Drosophila melanogaster: one gene and its partners. The protein of the gene in region 4 purifies or fractionates together with the protein of the main gene of each other region. This does not show direct contact. Each region holds a gene or a part of one and is shown on either strand. Other genes may lie near its edges.

Evidence for each region.
Region 1: the proteins of cib (region 4) and CG2767 purify together in Drosophila melanogaster (affinity purification with mass spectrometry, with the first as the bait; one large-scale study listed by BioGRID). This does not show direct contact.
Region 2: the proteins of cib (region 4) and CG9705 purify together in Drosophila melanogaster (affinity purification with mass spectrometry, with the first as the bait; one large-scale study listed by BioGRID). This does not show direct contact.
Region 3: the proteins of cib (region 4) and CG11267 purify together in Drosophila melanogaster (affinity purification with mass spectrometry, with the first as the bait; one large-scale study listed by BioGRID). This does not show direct contact.

The regions. Positions count from the first base shown.
Region 1 is NT_033777.3:8,005,399-8,009,852, forward strand, and holds CG2767 (uncharacterized protein), read right to left. Parts: upstream 2,713-4,454; 5' UTR 2,570-2,712; coding exon 2,498-2,569; intron 2,115-2,497; coding exon 1,934-2,114; intron 1,567-1,933; coding exon 1,439-1,566; intron 1,379-1,438; coding exon 819-1,378; intron 751-818; coding exon 702-750; 3' UTR 526-701; downstream 1-525. Other genes in the region: CG2698 (uncharacterized protein), read left to right, coding at 359-518; CG11052 (uncharacterized protein), read right to left, coding at 2,985-3,102, 3,154-3,263, 3,378-3,394, 3,449-3,653; CG3223 (uncharacterized protein), read left to right, coding at 4,090-4,231, 4,305-4,454.
Region 2 is NT_037436.4:16,778,268-16,782,962, reverse strand, and holds CG9705 (uncharacterized protein), read right to left. Parts: upstream 2,864-4,695; 5' UTR 2,543-2,863; exon of another isoform or gene 2,459-2,542; 5' UTR 2,307-2,458; coding exon 2,173-2,306; intron 1,501-2,172; coding exon 1,378-1,500; intron 1,300-1,377; coding exon 1,125-1,299; 3' UTR 544-1,124; downstream 1-543. Other genes in the region: mus302 (mutagen-sensitive 302), read left to right, coding at 3,482-4,695.
Region 3 is NT_037436.4:13,014,067-13,017,411, reverse strand, and holds CG11267 (uncharacterized protein), read right to left. Parts: upstream 1,363-3,345; 5' UTR 1,251-1,362; coding exon 1,248-1,250; intron 1,056-1,247; coding exon 894-1,055; intron 826-893; coding exon 679-825; 3' UTR 509-678; downstream 1-508. Other genes in the region: mRpL20 (mitochondrial ribosomal protein L20), read left to right, coding at 1-8, 63-219; MICAL-like, read left to right, coding at 2,275-3,345.
Region 4 is NC_004354.4:4,104,201-4,111,141, reverse strand, and holds cib (ciboulot), read right to left. Parts: upstream 5,030-6,941; 5' UTR 4,869-5,029; intron 4,308-4,868; exon of another isoform or gene 4,215-4,307; intron 2,194-4,214; exon of another isoform or gene 1,772-2,193; intron 1,648-1,771; exon of another isoform or gene 1,633-1,647; intron 1,454-1,632; coding exon 1,318-1,453; intron 1,246-1,317; coding exon 1,132-1,245; intron 991-1,131; coding exon 851-990; 3' UTR 506-850; downstream 1-505. Other genes in the region: brn (brainiac), read right to left, coding at 5,679-6,656.

The DNA of each region.
Region 1 (4,454 bases), on a different chromosome or scaffold from region 4:
CTAGACATAGGCTGGAGCTTCCTTTAACTATTGTTGTTCGTTTCTCAGTTGCTAATCTTACCGCTTTGCGAACATTGATTTTTATGATATTATTCAATATTCCGTCTATGCAGCAAGCGCTCCTTAATATCTATTCTATCGATCTTAGTGTTCTTACATACAAAATGTACCTCGAATTATTTGTAGTCGCGAAACATTTCCAAAGCCTTCAAGTACCGATATCGTGCTCGCTACTAATTGCTTAATGTAAAATTGTGATGTGTTTAAACTTAGATACAAAATGTCTTGCAAATATATTTCTGTACTAACTAACTACCGCTGAATGCAAGCTTTTTTGAATTTGAAAGTGGTTTTCCAGCTCGATTCCTCGAAGGGTCAACGAAACTGTTAACGACAGTATAATAAAAACGAACGATAACACGGATGGAAAGTCTGTCATAGAGGGAAAACCTGTTGAGCTGAAAATCGTAACGAAAACCAAGACATTTCAACTGTTGAATACCAAAGAAAACCAGTAAAGAATTTGTATATAAATATCATAACTACATTTTATCTGTGTATAATGACCGAATTGCGAGTAATTACTTTTTTTATAACTGTTACAAAATAAATGGTTGCTTTTCTATACTTTCGACACAAAGTAATGTTTTGGAAAAGAATTTACTGCGTTCATTTGAATTCTTTTTATATAGCTATGCCGTTTAGTTCGTGTACTGATTCTTGAAGGTAAACTCAGGATGCCTTTCCACACTGTAAACAAAATAAAAATAAATAAATAAATAAAATAGAGGGATTAAAGCTAAGTCATATTTTTATACCCATGGAAGAATGCAAAGTCACAGATTCGAATATTCTGGTCCAGGCTAGACAACTTGGCCACCTCCTCGGCCGTCAGTTCGAAATCGAAGACGTCCAGATTCTGTTTAAGGCGAGCGGGATTCGTGCTCTTGGGAATGGCGGATACACCAGTGTCGATAATCCAGCGGAGGAGGACCTGCGCTGGCGTCTTGCCATGGCTTGCGGCAATCTCCTTCACCTCAGGGATGTCCATCAGGTCCGGCAGATCTCTCACGATGCCCGCTCCAGCATTAAACTTGGCGATTCCCTTGGATCCCAACGGGGAGTAGGCAGTTACGGTAATGTTTTCGGACTTGCAGAAGTCGACCAGATCTCGCTGCTGCAAATAAACGTGGTGCTCAATCTGGTTGTTGGCCGGCCGGATCTTGCAGTTCTTCAACAGACGGGCCACCTGATCCTTGCTGAAGTTGGATACCCCAATGGACTTGGTGAGACCCTTCTCCACCAGGGCCTCCATAGCAACCCAGATGGCTGCGTGGTTCGTGGTAACGTCGACCTCCATTAGGCCCTCCTTGTCGAGCTGAAAGTTAATGCTCGAGATGTGTATAGGAGTTGGGATTAGATTCCGTAGCACAACTACCTTAAAGCTTCCGTCCTCGTTGATATTAATTGTGAAGGGAGTGTGCACCAAATATAAGTCCACATAGTCCAGTTGCAGATCTTCCAGTGACTTTTTGATGGTTGGCTCAACTTCGTGGGGGCGGTTGGCTAAAACAAGGATTATATTATTATTATATTATTTTTGAAATAACTGGACTCGTAATAGTGAAAACTCTCACAGCTATATTTATAGTCATTCACATCAGGTTCATTTATCATATCAAAGAGTCATGTGGTGATAATAAAAATGTTTTTAAATTGAAATTATGAACACTGAAGGAGTCTATGTTGGTGTTTTAAAATCACGTTCCTAGTCTTATTTTATCAACTAGATATCAAAAAGAATATTGGTAGCTGGTGTAAAATGCTTTGGTTTCTATGGATCTTAAGATTCTGTGGGCATAGAACATAGGAACTATTTATAAATGTTTATATGGCATTTTGAAATACCATCCAACTACTAAATGCTACTTACAAACGGGTGGCACCTTGGTCACAATGAACAGCTCCTCCCGCTTGACCTTGCCGGCGTCCAGCCAACGCTTTAGGACTCTTCCGATGGCCTTCTCATTGCCGTAGACTGGCGCCGTATCTATGTGGCGATACCCAGCTTCCAAAGCCGCATCGATGGCGGTTTCGATTTCCTCATCAGATGCCTGCATTGTGGTGATGAAAGTGCGGTTTAGTGGTATTGTATATATATTGATTATAGGATTTGCATAATCTACACTACCCGAAAATCTTCAAACTCGATTTACAACGATATTTATTCTCCCGTGACCAGAGAAAGTCCAGTCCACCAGTGGATATGAATGGTGGTTTATTGTTTGTTTTTGAAAACCGGTCTAAAGTCCCCCAGCACCAACCAAATTGTTGATTGCATCGGAATCGGAATTTCAAGAGATTTAAATGACGTGTCAGCGATTTGTTGAGGTCATTAATAAGTTGAAACAATAGTATTAAGATTCGAATATCTACTATCCATTTAACCACTTACAAGCAATCTATGAAATTACAGAATTAACGTGATTATAAATACCTGCCAGGTGCCGATGCCAATCACGGGCATCTTCTCTCCATTGTTGAACGTTAAGAACTTGGTGTTGACCATTTTGTATTGATTTTTGATAACTTGTACACTAAAACAGACTTGAGTAACAGATTAAATGGAAAAGATGCGGCACAACCTGTTGCTTCGAGGATTGAATTGAAATTAAACAAGAAGCTACGACCCAGTCACCGGCCCACTTATCTCACCCAATCCAATGAGATTCTGCCTTTTGCAAAGCGCGGTCTTACTAGTCGATATTTGTTTAACAAAACAATCGAATTTAAAAATAAATGTACTTACCATAAATGGTTTAAGGCTCGTTTACTATAAAATATCGGACTAATTTATTTGCATTTTAGTTAGATTTAATATTATAACAATAGAAAAATTTGTAGCTCATATCCAAATACTGTATAAGTGTGTGTAAGAAAAATTCAATTCCGTTTCTAAATGATTTTAAGCTTTTAGAGAACAACTAATCCACCACTATGGAGAAGTTAGTGAACGTGAATTCTGAAAGTTCTGTAGTCTCACTGAAAATGCATTTGTCAATTCGACTGGTGGGGCTGCCGGTGTGCTTTAGCCAGAGGCGCCTGTAAAAGAACGGCTTGATAATTAAACGTTGAATGGAAAAAATCACTCACATGGACTCAAAGGAATGTCGGTGTGCTTGAATTTCGCCCTTCACCGTATTCTCGTTGGTGTTTTTGCACCAACCCCGGACTCCCAGCTTTTGAGCTCTTCGCAAGGTGTACTAAAACATGGTAATTGGATTACAGTAAAGAGATTTCACATATACAATAAGAGGTAGCAGAAAATCCATAGCTCAAAGGGGTTTTGAAGATCCCATTTCCCAGCAAGCTCTTACCATTCGAAATGAAACGCCTGTTGGTGCCAGATAACTAATTATTGCGACTATACGATTTGTGAATACCCTACCTTGCACAATGCCGAACACTTCGAATTGGCAGCTGAAGACCGGCTCATCGCTTCTGTCCGATGTTACTCTTTTTTGGAACTCTGTGTTCGAAATTCGGTTGGGCTCCTCGCTGCCTTTTTTGGATGGTGTACCTTTATCTGGTGTCGAAGATGGAAGAGTTACCCTCCTACGTTCACCCTCAGTCTGCGTTTCTTGGGAGGTCATTTTACAACTCGTATATTTAACATATTTGGAGCGGAAACTGTCAAAAATCGATAGGTCGATAGGGATTGAGGGTTTTATTTTGGGTCACCTTGAATTTCAATGGCTTTAAAAACAGTACATTTTAAATGAAATGACTTGAACAAGGTAAAACAAAAACAATAGCAAAAGTTACGTTTTCTTATTGTCAACAAATGAACACTTATGTTGAAAATTCGACAGCAATCCTAGAGCGGTATTTTTAGATCTAGCTTTTTTAGCCTTTTTTAAATCGTCGGTCGACCCGATCAGTCTGGTTCGGGCTATCGGGGCATGTAAGGGTCACCCTGTGTTCAAGGCGGTTCGTTGGAACCAGTTCCGAACTGTCTTTGAACAAAACAAAATCACCCAGACAAAATAGTGAATTACAAATATTACGCAGATTCTACATCAACGCACTATGCATACCGTGTACGCGCTTCTGAAGAACAAGCTGAGCGATGTGCATCCCCTACACAACATCGATCTGACGCGGGATGTGGCCTACCTAAAGGCGGTGGTGACCAAAGAGATGCACTTGCAATTCGACGCCAGCGAGTTGGGTGAGTGACCCTCGGGATTCAAATCGCTGTCCATTGTCTCTATTGTGTCAAGTCATTTGCTGCGCACTTGCAGAGATCATCCACCACGGACGCGTGCTGGAGGACGCAGACACCCTCAACCGAACGCTGCAGCCCAACGCCGTGATCCACTGCTTTCAGAAGATTAAACGTTACTCGCCGTATGTGCCGCCAGCCGCCGCCGAAATCAACACGAAGCATATTC
Region 2 (4,695 bases), on a different chromosome or scaffold from region 4:
ATTCGAAATTCAAACTGAGTGGCGGGAGACTTACGAAATGGAAATCCATAATTTTAGGAGTATGAGTTGGTTTGGCTATTTATGGCTCTACTTGATAAATTTAGCGGGCGGAAATCTTTAGGTATCTATTGTGGCAAAAAGGTTGGTTTTTTTTTATTGAATATGTTACGGTTTCGATTTTCTGCAGAACGCAGGAAATATATTTTCAATAGTGAGCCAAAAATTCATGTATGCTTTGGGCTGCAAAAAGTATCTGCTTTCACTGCAGATAAGATACACCACTAAATTAAATACAAGTTACAGCTGCGGCTAAAACAATATTTTGCCATGTTATGAATATCGTGATATTACAATCAGACATTAGCTAATATCTAAAATGAACATTTAGATGCCGTAATAAAAACGTAAGATTAATAATTTTGCATAAAATTTTATTAGAACACATACAAGCAAGCGGCTATTATGCTGACCGCAATTGTGCGTACAATACACACTCCATGCTGATAACTCCCACGCCACTCCAGAAAAATCACCGATGGAATTGTTTTGCAGCTGTTTTAATAATAAAGTGAATTACTGAGAGCATTTTGCTTGTTTGCTTCGCGAACACATTCAGATGTTTTGTTATAATTAAAAGTAATTACTGATACAGGGCACCACAGCATCGCAGGCGCTGTGCTAGTGGCTTCTCGAATAACAATTTCAATTTCCAAATACATACGCGCTTTTAATAATATACTCGAAACTGGTTGCGGTTGCTCTCCCCTCTTCCAGAGGGAAAGGCAATATTTGTGACTGCGTTTTGTTTGACTTCCATAGCTTAGCTTAAATTCTAATTAAGTGTTCAATTGAAACTCTTGTGATGCTGCTCGCTGGCTGGCTGGATGGCAGGCCTGTTGTTCCATTCTATTACGTTCTGGTCTGGTTTCGGCTTTTTCCTGGCTGCTTCGATTGCTGTGCTTTCGTTTACTTTCATGGTTATTGTTCTGTTCCGGTTTTCCGTTTCGTTCATCTCGGGTGGCGTGCTCTAGCTCAATTAAATTTCTTGGAAGGCCGTTCAGCTTTTAACAACACACTTTTCCGCTTCCGAGCTTCGAAATCTCCCAGGGCCACAAGCTTCAGCTTTACTTAGCGGGCGAGGAGCCACCATAGAATGGCTCCTCCCACTTGTGGTGCACCTCCGGCGTCAGGTGGCTAATCTGCACGTGCACGGCCTGGTGCTTCTCATACTTGGGCGGAATGGCGCACAGACGGTATTTGACCTCGTCCCCGGGCATGGGCACATATTCACCTTCGATGCTGTGGGAAGATTACATTTTTGTAGGTCTTACAGAGCCAGCGCAAAGGTCGCCGCGCATGCAATATTCATTCACTTACTCGGAAACGTGGCAAAAAACGTCCTCTCCGCCGGCGTTGGGTGTAATGAAGCCGTGTCCTTTGGTGCGGCTGAAGGATTTCACCATACCGGTCACAACCGGATTTTCCAAGGCCCGAGCGGAGCTATGTTTTTTCAGCGTTATTTTGAGTTTGCGCGTGTTTGCGTTTTGGCAGCGTTTGGGAAAAGAATTAAGCAGGAAGAGACAAGTTAATCAATGGAGGATGCGCATGGGGATATGAGGGGGAAGAATTTAAGTACGTGGATTATGTTCGAAAGGGTTCCGAGAGCTTATAAATTCGGCAGCGACTGATTTCTGAATGTATGTATGTATGTACAATGAAATAATTGAAAAAGTATGGGGTTTACAAATTTAAACTTTCAAAAAAAATGGTCCTTACGGTTATAAAAATATTTATAAGTATATACACATAAAAATAAATATATTAAATGTAAATGTGGAACCAATAAAGTGTTCCATGTTCGATTACTAATTACTGTTTGTTTCATTATGTTTGCTCATCTAATTCAACAAATGCAGTTTAAAACATTATAGAAAGCTTTTGCTTTAGAAATTACAAGCTTCCATGCTATTCTTTTACTATTTCAAAAGGTTGTATTTGGTTTTCATACAAAAGAGCGAACCTTGTGAAATAATGTGAACTTTCGGCGCCTATTTGGCCCCATAAAGGCTCTGCATAGGGGCCAAGTTCCCCTTGGGGTCAAGTGTGTGTGGGGCCAGTAGTGGGTGGGTGGTTTTGCTGGTTGGGTGGGCAGGGCAGTGCAGGAGGACTTACGTCGAGGCCGTGCGAGTGCGCCTCGTGATGATGGGACTGGGCAGCTGCAGCGAGGCATTGGGACTATGGCTGTTGTGGTGTAAAACCGGCGGCTTGGCGGCCAGCAGCTTCTCGGGCGTCCTTGGTTCGGTCATGGCTTTCTTACACTGCTCGTTTACTTGCCGATTTATGCGTTCTTCCCCTTTCTTCGCTCTTTTCCTCTCCTCTCTTCAGACAGTAGAAGCGGCTTGCGCGTGTGTATATATGTGCGTATGTGTGTTTGTGGGTGAGTGGACGGCAGCCAAGTCTGTCGAGTTCAAGGCCACGGGGGGCGGGTTAGTCAGTCAGCAAATTGCGTTGCACTTAATTCACGTGTACTCGGTCAGCTTACCGACAACTTCACGCCCTCTTTCCTAGCACCTTGATAATTGGCAATCCAAAAATCCTGGCTTAGCTTCTTTTTTTTTTGCGAAACACCCACACACTGATGCAAATTTTACCGCTGTGCGAAACGCCGGTTGCCAATGTTATTTGTACCCCCTAAATCAGTCCTGCGCGGTATGACTTTTATCAACTTTGGAATCTGGGATTTTTTTAAACTTTTTTATCAATTATTACACCGGCTTGATGCGCGCTTTTTAAGAATTTCAGTTTTTTAACGAATGGCGGCGGAGGCGTCAAAGTCAGACCTCAGAGTGAACGTTTTGGAATGTTCCAGAAATCCCAAAACCTATCGCTTAGCCTAATTGGCAATCGATGTTTATAGCAACATGAATAAAATTTGAAAATCAAATTTAACGAACAAACAGGATTAATTACAAGTTACTCCAACTTGTTGGTAGAATAAATAGATGTGAAAATTTAATTGAAAGCATTTATAATTATTTTAAACAATTAAAAAATTGCATTTTCCGCACAAACACTCAACTCTTATATAGATTCTTTTTTTATATGCTTGATATACGAAAAAAATGTGTTCAGACTAATATGTTGTCCACACTAACAATGAATATTTAAATATATTTATTTACATGTAGTACTCGATAGTTTCACCCCGTTGTTCCATCACTAAAGCATCTCGATCTTGACCATCCCTAGCTTGAAATTTAGCGTCCTATTGCAGGAAAGTCGCGAAATAGATAAAATAATAACAAGAACTTTCATGTTTTCCAAGAGGAAAACTTGATTGAGACCATATATAGGTGAAACGGACAGCGAAGGTTTCGCAAAAGGCGACAGCGCCGTGGATCCGGAAATATACTCATCGGGCAGCAGGGAATGCGATCAGTCTGAAGCGAGAAAGCGGAATTCAGACATCCTGCTGCAAGGAATGGAGAATGAAACCGAAGCTCTTGATCCGGAAGTTTATGCCGATGAGACCTCTACAGATGATAGCTCTGGTGATGATGAGGTAATCCTCAATCCAGTTGAAGGTCTGCAGCCGGCGGTTGAGATTGATGAACAACGTGACCAGCCTGGTGAGAACGCGGAACCCGAGCAACCGAGAGTTCCGCCTTTAATTCTGGTAGATCCTCCGCATTTGCCCAGTCCCCCGAGAAATTCCCGCCGCAATCAAGGCGAAGAGCAGGAGGTGATCTCATTAGAAACGCCATCACCGCCCAAGAAACGTAAACGTCTCTCCGCTGCTGCCGATAAAAGCCTTAAAAAGTCGCCCGAGGGCAAACCAATAGTTGTAGATGACGAGGACGATGGCATGACCTGTCCCATTTGTCTGGATTCCTGGGAGATGAGTGGCGAGCATCGACTGGTCTCGCTGCGATGTGGTCACCTCTTTGGGGAAAGCTGCATTCGGCGGTGGTTAAACGAAAGCCATCGCCAATCTTCTGTGAAGGTGTGCCCGCAGTGCAAGACGAAGGCCACATTTAGAGATATCCGTCATCTGTATGCGAAGCGCATTCAGATGCTGGACACGGATATTAGGGAGCAGCTGGAGGCGGAGCGGCGGCGTACACATACTCTAACAACAGAGCTGGCTACCGCGAAGCTGGCTAACACACTCACCACTGAGAAGCTGATTCTCCTGCAGAAGGACTACGAACGGCTTAAGGAGCTGGTGAGGGCAGGTGGTGGTCGGGGAGCCTTCGGAGGCGATGCATCCGGCCAGAAGAGCATTCAACAACTAGCCACCTACCGATTGTACATGGAGAAGAACTTCGAGATAACTCGAGATCCCGGCTGCCGTGTATTGCTCTATTCCGCCAAGCACTCCATGCTGGTGGCCTCGCAAAAGAGTGCCCAAAACCTGTTCCCCGGCTACGGCGTACGCTTTATTGATCCACCTACCTTCAAGCCCCTGCAATTCCTGCACACCTCGGCACTCCTAATCCGGGACATTGCTTTTAGTGACTCACAGCACTTGCTCACTGTGGCCAGTCGGGAACTAAAGATCAAGATATTCGACATAAGAACACGGCTTTGCTCGTCTATGTTCACCGCTCATGACAAGATGCTGTGGTCTTGCGCCCTGGATCGCAACGAGCGCGAACACTTTCTATACGGCGGAGATCTGCGAGGTGGAGTTTA
Region 3 (3,345 bases), on a different chromosome or scaffold from region 4:
CTCAACAAGTGGGTACCACCGGAAAATTCCCATATCCTTTAACAACCTATAACATCTTTCAGAAAAGTCCTATCCGACCTCGCCATTTGGGAGCCGCGATCTTTTGAAGCTCTAGTAAAGATCTCTCGAGAGCGGGCAGCTGTGGAGGGAATGCCAGACATCAAACGGAGATCGGCATTTAACCAGGTCTATGGACTGAGCAACCTGAAGTTGGATTAACATAGCCTTAAGTAGGAGTTCAAATATAGATATTTGTATGTTTTAAACGTGTAATCTTTAATTTTCACTTTGAAGGGAGTAAAATCGTTTGGGATTTGTTCTTTAGATTAGTTTTTAACTCCGAATTCGTATTTACATTTAGTTACATAATTCGTAACTTCTGCTTGCTGAATGAAATTTGATACTAAATCATTAATTTATTTACTGCAACTACCTTTTCCGCGAATGAATCCAATATTTTTTCGAGTAAAATGACAAATGTGATTAATGACAAAACACCTGTGCTGCTAGTTTTAACAAGTAACTCGAAATTTATTCAATGACGGTCCATGCGCAATGCAAACAAAAATATTGCATGAGCTTTTATTGTAGTTTTTAGTTTCGGGTTTGTGGGTGTGTTACATACTAATAAAAAGCATAGAATTCATAGAATTGTGAGACAGTGTCCGGAGGCGAGATCTACTCCAATTTGGCCAGGATGTCGGACTCGCGGAAGAGGAACAGCTCCTTCTGGTCACCCTCTAGGTTCACCTTGGTGCCACCGAATTCGGGCAGCAGAACACGATCGCCCTCCTTCACGCCAATGGGAATGTGGTTGCCAGTGGACTGCGGATGAAGTGGGATGTTCAGTGATTAGATGACCATCTCTGCATTGATAATGGCGAAATACTCACGGCATTACGGGTGCCAGGGCCTACGGCCAGAACGGTGCCCTCAAGTACTTTGCCCACCGCTTTCTCCGGCAAAACAATGCCTCCTTTCGTCTTGGTCAGCGCCTCGGCACGCTGGATTAGGATGCGGTCCAGCATGGGGATGATCTTCTTGATAGCGGCGGCCTGAGGATCATTAAAAAAGACCCAACAATTAACCCATGTTTCAATGTTTCATGTTTCTCTCATTGATTACACAACAGCCCGGCGAATGGGATGTGGACCGAAAGCCGTGGAACCTTCTCGAAAAACCGATATCATCCTTCGATTTCAAACTGTCTTCTAAACCTCATATGGGGCAATGCACTTTTAACTTACCATTTTAATTCTTAAATGCAAACTGGAGCGGTTGATAAAAGTTAATGAGTGAACTTTTTACTCAACTACACGTGCCGGCGTAACTATTCTCGCTAGATGCGGGACTGCTTATCGTCGGTGTGACCAGGCTATTTCACGGATATAACATTGAGAAATAATTTTTTCTGTTCGAATACACTGAGAGAAGTCAATGCAAAAATTAATAGTTGTGTATAACTTTTAAAATGGTAATAAACTTTTCGCCAAGTAATTGCCGAGTTGATTTCCTATAAAACATGAAGATGAAAATGAGTCTGGTGGGTGGACTTCCATAATAACTTGTATACCAATTTCAGGAATTACTCCTTTTATATGCAATTTAAACATATTAATTTAATTTCCATTAATTTATAATAAACATGTTGTGCAATTTTCTGTTCTCATCTTTGTTGAGCTAAATAATCGTTTTTTAAGAAATTAAATCAGAAGCCCAGAAATCTTCTGGGCTTTACTGGTGTTTTAATTTTTTCAAATTTACTAATATTAAAATATAATATAATATAAAATAAACATAAAACAGAATTGTTTGTTTACTTCCTCGAAATTAGGTATGTTCAAACCAAGGAGTTGCTATTGATACTAGCGATTTAAATCGATTGACTCTGGCAGCGGATTGTTCACACTACACCCTGTTGCAAAGTGCAAGACAATAAAGACAAGCAACAAAATAATTGAAAAGTGTGGCATTCCTGAGAAAAATTAAAAAATTTCAGAATTTTCTAAACATCTTGTTTTTAAGAAGGGAAAATAGCACGAAACAACTATCGATAGCTGCTGACACTCCCACCACTAAATCTGATTGGGAGATTTATTTGAGTCACCGTTTTGCCTTGTTTACATTTAATGTAATTTGTACCAGATAAATCTTATTTGATTTTACTCAAGTCAAGTGGCACGATGTGCTTTTGTTGTTCACTTAGTTTACAGTTTGTGACTGCTATTTTCGTTTAGTTATATTCGCCAATAAGCCAGCAATTAACCCACTAAAATGTCTGATCGTCGTGGCACAAAAGTTGGAACTGGTACGAAGGCTTTGGAGTATTGGTGCCGAGTTGTGACCCAAGGATATAATGGGGTCAAGGTGGAGAACATGACCACTTCCTGGCGAAATGGACTTGCCTTCTGCGCCATAATACACCACTTTCGGCCGGATCTTATAGATTTCGACCGACTTAAAGCAGACGATATCTATGAGAACAACGATTTGGCCTTTACAACGGCCGAGAAATATTTGGGAATTCCCGCACTGCTCGATGCAGCTGACATGGTTTCGTATGAAGTACCTGATAGACTCTCCATACTAACGTATTTATCCCAGTTTTACAAGGTGCTCGGCAAGAGCCTGAAGCACCCGAAGCCAGAGGAGCCACTTGGCGAAGAGAGTGAGCCACCGCAAAAGGTGATGCACATTGTTGGGATGCCTCGACGTGATAAGTGCCAGAAATGCAACCTTCCTGTTTTTCTCGCCGAAAGGGTCCTTGTCGGCAAACGGGCTTATCATCGCACATGCTTAAAATGTGCAAGATGTTCGTCATTGCTCACACCCGGGAGTTTTTATGAAACGGAGGTCAATAACATATACTGTTGCGAGACTTGTCCCGATGAAGAAAGTGAACCGGAATCTGACATTTTAAAGTTAAAGACAACCACTACTGATTCTCCGAATGATAAACAAATGGTGGCACAAAGTTCTGATTACTCTGAAGCTGAAGATAAACAAGAAGACCTGGAAGATAATGATATACGTACTACTGATAAGCCTGAAAACTTCCAACCGCCGTCCAACAAAGATGAACAAAATAATGAACTAACTATTAATCCGGTAAACCCTATATTATCAGAGGAGCGTAAAATCTCTTTTATTCCACTAGACGAAGAAGATGGTGGCCTTATTGAACAATATAATAAATCAACAACTCCTGTAAAGCCCGCTATACCAGAGAAACCAAAAGTCTCTACTCTTCCACTAGACGATGAACAACATGCTGGCGTTGAACAAAACAATGATCTGGCGGTTAGTCCGGAAAATGACATTCCAAAAGAGAAACTTAAGATTTCT
Region 4 (6,941 bases):
GCGTTACGCATCTTGTTATTCTAGTGTCTTTGATTTAAGCAAATATTTGTATATTTACCACGAATCAAGAGTTCATACTTCCCGTATTACAACCATTTGTGTTTCTTTTATTGTTTGAGAGTTTTCCGCCCCCGAAGAAAGCAAAAGTCGGTGCAGTTTTAGTACGTTTTTGTTATAAAATGTTACATTTATGTTTTTTTTTTATTTTTCCCAGTATAAATATATCGTATGTAAAGTATATAAAAAAAAGTTCATTAAAAAATTACACATACTCTTTATATAGATGCTTTTCTACCGTATTTCTTTTTGTTTTTCTGTTTTATACGCTTCATACGTTTTGCGTGTCTTTTAAAAAGTATTTCTCATATATTTGCTGTCTTTTCTTGTGTAAATGTTCTGAGTGAGTTGGCTGTCGTATTGCTTTGTATCTGCGTTTTATTCTTCCTCCGATGATGATGTGTGTGTTTGTCGTGTGTTTTGGAAACATTTATGCACAAATATATATGGGATAGACGAATGTTTATTTTATGTTAATTACGCTGTAGGAATGAGACTGGCTCTCTTGCTTGTTAATACAAAAAATATATATATATATGTGTAAAAATATTGCAAAAAAAAAAAAAACGGACAACCGAAATACGATAATAGTAAAATACTTTTGCTATCACGCGCATGCGCAGCGGTTCGAATAACTTGGTAGCAGTTGAAAAATGAGAGGGAATAGCTTTATACGTATAAAGAGTGAGATGCGGCGAGTCGAAAAAGAGAGATGGGGTGACTGAGGATCGGATCGGATCGGATCTCAGATCTCGGATCTCGGATCGGAGTGGACCACATTGGAGCCCCCATTTTAAGCCTGCTTCTCGGCCTCGATCACCTCCTTGGTGGGCAGCACGTTCTTCTCATTGGTCTCGGTGTGCTTCAACTTTTTCGCATCAAAGTTCTCGATGCCGGCGATGAACTGATTCTTCTCCTTCTCCTGCTCGATGGCTGCAATTTGAGGTTGAGAAATAGAGAAATAACAACACAATTATAGAGCCTGCATTGGCCATCTAAGGCAGGCTGCCTTTTATGGCCGGACCATATGTATGTACAATATGCAACATACTAGATGGCCTACAATGAACGCACCTTCCTTATCGGGCAACGGGTTCTTCTCGTTGGTCTCCGTGTGCTTCAAGTTGTTCTGATTGAAAGCGGTGATGCCCTCGAAGATCGACTGTTGGGTCTTCTCGGCAGCCACATCTGTGAGTCAGGGGGATTAGATTTCGGTGTTCATGGTTTCGGCCTTTCACCAACCAACAATAGCCAACTCACCTTCGGCGGTGGGAAGAATGATCTTCTCCTGGGTGCTAGCGTTCTTCAGTTTGTCCTGGTTGAATCCCTCCAACTGGCTTTTCAGGTTCTCGGCCACCTTGGGCAGATCCTTGAGTGCTGGTGCTGGGGCGGCCATCTGAACACATAAAGTTTTTTGATGAATTTTAAATTACTTGCCTTGATAGTAAACGTATCTATTCTTTGGGATCATTTATTTTTCTTGTAGCTTTAATTGCTGATCGATCACTAGTTAAGATCTTCGTTTCAGTTTGCTGACACAACCAATTGATATGGGAATTATGATAGTGGTTTCACCTTAGATAGCAAAGTCTTAAAGAATATTGATACTAAATTAATAGTTCATGGGAAAAAGGAATTTAAGGAATACAACAAACGAAGCATACAAAAAGTTACTGTTACAATTACTGTTTGGCTTGGATCGCCTTTTTGTTACCTTATTAACAATTGAAAAGCAAACGAATTCCCTATGTAAACATTTCAAGTTAGAAACAACAAATCCAATTGGAGCCAAGCCGGAAGAGGATATCGATGTTATTGGTGAGAAAGGGGAAGCCAACTTTCCGATTGACAATTTGTTGCTCTTCACTGTTTGCTTTTGTTGATACTGTGTTGCGCCTTAATAAATAATTCATTTTCTTTAAACAGAAACGTAATATCTCTTTGTTGACCGTTGATTTCTCAAGCGATAGCCATGTGGAGAAATGTGGGGCGATAACGATGACTCAAAGGCACGCACACACTCACACACACACAGGCGCAGCAAGGACGAGTCATGCTAGTGTGTGTTCCTATCAGAAGGAGGGAGAAAGAAAGAGGAAACGGTCCGGAGCGGAGAGAGCGAGGAGTTCAGCGAACCTTTCCAACTGGAAACAGATTAAGACTCCAATTCGCTTTGCTGCCGTTCTTGGCCTTTGTTTTTTAGCACTGGCATTCTTATCAGAAGACATGTGTACTTGGTCGAGCGGTTAAACTGCATTTTATCACGTTTATTTTTAGTTGCGAAATTCGAGTGTGCGTGCCACATAGCATGCCCCCCGAGTTCCAATCAGAGTTGCGCCGGACAAAGAATCCTCTTTGTGCACCGATATCTTATTGGTATCAAGTCATCAGTCGGATTGGGACTGCATTGCATTCGATGGAACAGCTGCGCTAAAATGCAATCGGTACAAGGGCAGCGACCGCACCAAAAGCAAAACGGAGAAGAAGCAGAGAAGCGGAGAAAAGGCATCGCGAATCTATATATTTATTTATTTGCACATTTATGGCCATAAATGGTCGGAAAGCTGCGCCTCAAGCGGCTGGCCAATCACGTTGATTGACTAACTGACTAACGGCCGCCGATTTTCCCGCTCTCCCCACTTCCACTTCCCCTGGCGCAAAATCGTATCGTAGTCCGCTCGGTTCATGCAGCACTTTTATCACGAATCTAGGCCTGACTTGCTGCAATCCCACAAATATTCCTTACTCCGATACAAATACTATGACCAATCCAAAAATCAATTGATTTGCAGTAAGTGATGATGATTAATTCAACATTATTTGGCCCGCCAATCTTTGTTCTGATAATGCTGCTGAATTGCTCACAATTCTTTATCGGTACCAAAATAACAGCAATGAGCCAATAATGAGAAAACGGCAACTGAACAATAAAGATTCAATATGTAAACTCATTGGGAAACTATTCCTATACGTAGATCGATGGTGTTTTAGATCGCTCCGTTTAAAGTTCGATTAATTGGTCATCGTGTAAACGAGTGTCTTATTAGTCAGCTCCTTGCACCGAACAAAGGAGAGGCCAACAACAACAACAACGTCGCATACATACAAAGTGGGAGCTATGGCGATTCGGGGCGGCGAGGGGGTGATTTTCACGGGGGTGGGGGCAATGAAGTTCGCCGTGAATCAACTTCCAACTTCGAAATTCGAAATATGGTCGTCCCGCTTAAAAGCCGTTGATGAATCACCGCACATTGCATACATCCAAACATAGATATGTACGTACATATGTGCATATGTTTGCTGGTGAATTTATCGTTGCCCACACAGCTGTGCTTCTTCTTCGCCCGACTTTGTAAGCTTTTCTTTTGCTTTCTTTCTTCCTGTTTTGGTTAATTCCCTAACAGATATACATACATATGTAAATCTTTTGGCTCTTTTCGGGGGTGTGAGTGAGACGGCGCCAAGAGACCGTTAAAAACAAAAGACACTGAAATTTTTTTGGGAATAAGAATATGAATATGCACATTTACACGTACATACGTACTTAACAGACTTACATACATATGTATGTAAAATAAAATGAGTCAAAGCCGCTGATGCGTGGCAAACAGCCGACGAACGGAGTGCAAAAAGGAGGCGAGAAGAAAGGGTGGAGAGAGCGCAAAGCAAAGGAGCTGGAGCGCCGGAGAGATGGGGAAATGAGAAATGACAGACACGTCCGCTTTGCATTTACACCCTCATCTCCTGCAGAAATGCACAAGTGTGTGTGTGTGTGTAGCTAGTGATAGACAATGAGAAAGAGAGGGGGGTAGACAGAACGAAAGGGAGGCGCAATCGGCGACTTGCAATGAATTTTAAGCACTTTGTTGTTGCGCACATTATATACACATTTTATGCAGGCGGCTGCGTTTAGTCATATATTCAATTTCAAAATCGCTGGATATTGGATATCCAAGTGACACAGCACCACGCCCAGCACAATTCGCCACTCGCCAGCACACACATCGCACAGTCGAGGTCGCACAGATAGTGACTTCATCCTTGTGAAATGTGCATATGTACATCTATCCCATCTTTCTATCTTTCCCAGTTCACTTTTCGTTGCCAATTCGCCAGCAAGAAGTGCTCGAACTTAGTTGTTTAAAAAATGGCTCTACTTTGGAGTAGCGAGAGTTTCGCCAACGCCTCTTTAACAATTCAAATTCCAAGTTCCTCGACTGCAATATTTGTAGTCTGCGATACCCAAGGCACTAAATGAATTAATTAATTTGCAGGACACTTTTCTCGTGCCGCTCACTGTGGGGGAGGATATTGGGCAGAGACACACATGCGCCCCGCCCAAGTACCCACACATATGCACATGCACATGCATACACACAGCGGCAAGCAGACGGCGGAAAAAAAAGAAGTTAAAAATGCCGGCCGGCACTCGCACACACACACGCGCAAATCTAAAGTTTGAGCCACACAAAAAAAAAACAAAAAATAATAGTCAACAAAAGGGGCGACGACAAAAGCGCTTCAACAGCTGCGGAAAAAAGTTACAAAGTAGCAGAAAAGAAATGGAAACGAGGAGAAAGATGAAAAAGTAACGGACTAGACAAGCACAATAAATATTTATAACAAATCCGCTGCCATTTTCGCAATCAACGAAGAAGCGCAGTCAACAAAAACCAGTTAGGATTCCCCATTACCCCCACCGCATCTTACAATGGCAAAAACGAAATTACCGGCGATCCCCCAAACTTAACGAAATCAACGAAAATTGACAAAAATAAAAATTTCAATCTGCAAGTAGAAATGAAACTCACCTTGATTTAGTTTTTTTTTTGGATTGGCGAAGCGGACTACTAAGCTGGGATGCTGGCGGGGTCGGCCTGATATATGTTTCTATGTATAGCTGTACACTTGGCGAAGCTGGGCCTTCGATGGTGGCGAAGCGGAGCTCTTGACGTCACAAATTTAATACTGGCGCTCGGCGGTGAGCGCCGCTTTTTATACGGCCGCGATACTATCGCGTTTGCGTGGCTGTGTCATTTTTGCTGGGCGGTTGCACGGTCACACTGGGCCTGGGTGGTATTATTATATATGGTCACACTGCGAATTTGGCACAGTCCATTTAGTGGAGACACGAACCACGCCTAGCTGATACAACCACCATGTATCAACCAACACATTCACTGTGAATTAGACACGATTCATTTAGCAGAGACACGAACCACATCTAGCTGATACAAACACCATGCAAAAGCGCGGCAATTTTAAACTTTGCTCAAATGCAAGCCAATCATTTATTTTAAGTTTTTTATTCGCTTTCCTATGTTAATCAACTTTATATTGCATTCAAAGGTATCAGACCACACATACGTTATCCGACATTTGCACATAATCTCTATATATACGAATTGAATCAACTGCTTTATCATTACGCTTACAATTAGAATTGAATTACTCTTGCGATCTTGCACTATTAGCACCAGCTGCTTGGTTTAAAGTCTCACTGAACGGTTGAGGTATCATCCACTGCTCCTAATATACTTTATAAGGCTGTTGTCTAGGTGCTGTCTCGTTCGTATATATGTACAATCTGCAGCGCTCTTCAGTCCTGCCTGTTCTTGCTGCTACGCGTAATTGGCGGATCGGCACTCGTTCCATACCCGCGTCATCTCCTCGGGATCGCCGAATTCGTGCGAGGCTATCACCGAACTATAGCTGTCCGGACCTTTGTACGCCGGCCGATGGAAGCGGAAGTCGTCGCAGTGCTGAAGGGAAATGCCCGCTTTCAAGGCCACTATGCCCAGGTAGACGTCGTCGAACCGGAAGAGCGGCAGGTGAACGCTGGCGGCATACAGCTGGCGCAGTGCCTTCTGCGACAGAATGAACGCGCCGGCGGTCACGTACGGTGGCCACCGATCGAAGGGGTATTCCTCCAACGAAACGTACCACTTGCTGAACTTGTGGCGGAGCGGGGATGTCTGAAACACGTGCCCGGCGAACAGCAACTCCGGCTGGTGGCTCTGACGCCCCCTGCCCAGAAACTTGAGCACGTTCTTGGCCGAAACATAGTAGTCGTCGTCCACGAAAAGATAGAACTCGCTGCGATTGAACTGATCGCTAGCCCAGCGCATACCCAGCATGGTTTTCAGCGTGTTGTTGAAGTAGGCGTCCGTGAACTCCGCCTGCAGAATGTCGCCATGCTCGCGGGACTCCCAAGCCACGTCTTTCTCACTATCCTCGGCCGTGCCCAGCAGGAACACGCGACGCAGATGGACGTCTGAGAATCGACCCTCGTAGCCCCAAGTCCGGCGAATGGCCTCCCGACGTCGCGAATTGCCCACCGCGCTCTTTATGAGCATCGTGAGCCGCGCAGGCTGGTCAACCGGCACCTCTGCCGTGAACGAGGGCACTCGCAGGTAGGCGAACTTGTCCAGTCCAGAGGATGCGGACCCAGATCCAGTGTCATCGTTCAGCGGGTAGTGAAAGTGCCGCTCGAAGTTCAGCTCGTGCAGGTGGGTCAGCAGGCCGCAATAGTCCACCAGAAGGATGAGGGGCAGCACCAGGAGGCAGCGCAGCAGCAGTTTGCGGTGTTTACTTTGCATGGCGACCAAAATAAAAACAAATCCGCCAGTGTGACCGTGATGCGGTTAAAATACTAAACGCCCATCTACCGTACGAAAAATAAAATAACTAAGACTAAAAGCATTCAAATTGAGTGCTTACAAATCTAAAAAATTGTTTTACAGTTGAATGAGAAGTGTGACATTGATTTATTTATATGTAAAAGAAAAAAACTCTTTTCACGTATTTTTACATTTCCGCCAATAACAGTTATTTTCTCCGCGTAAAAGCTGGCTGCACTGAACAAACAAATTTCCGTGGAATGA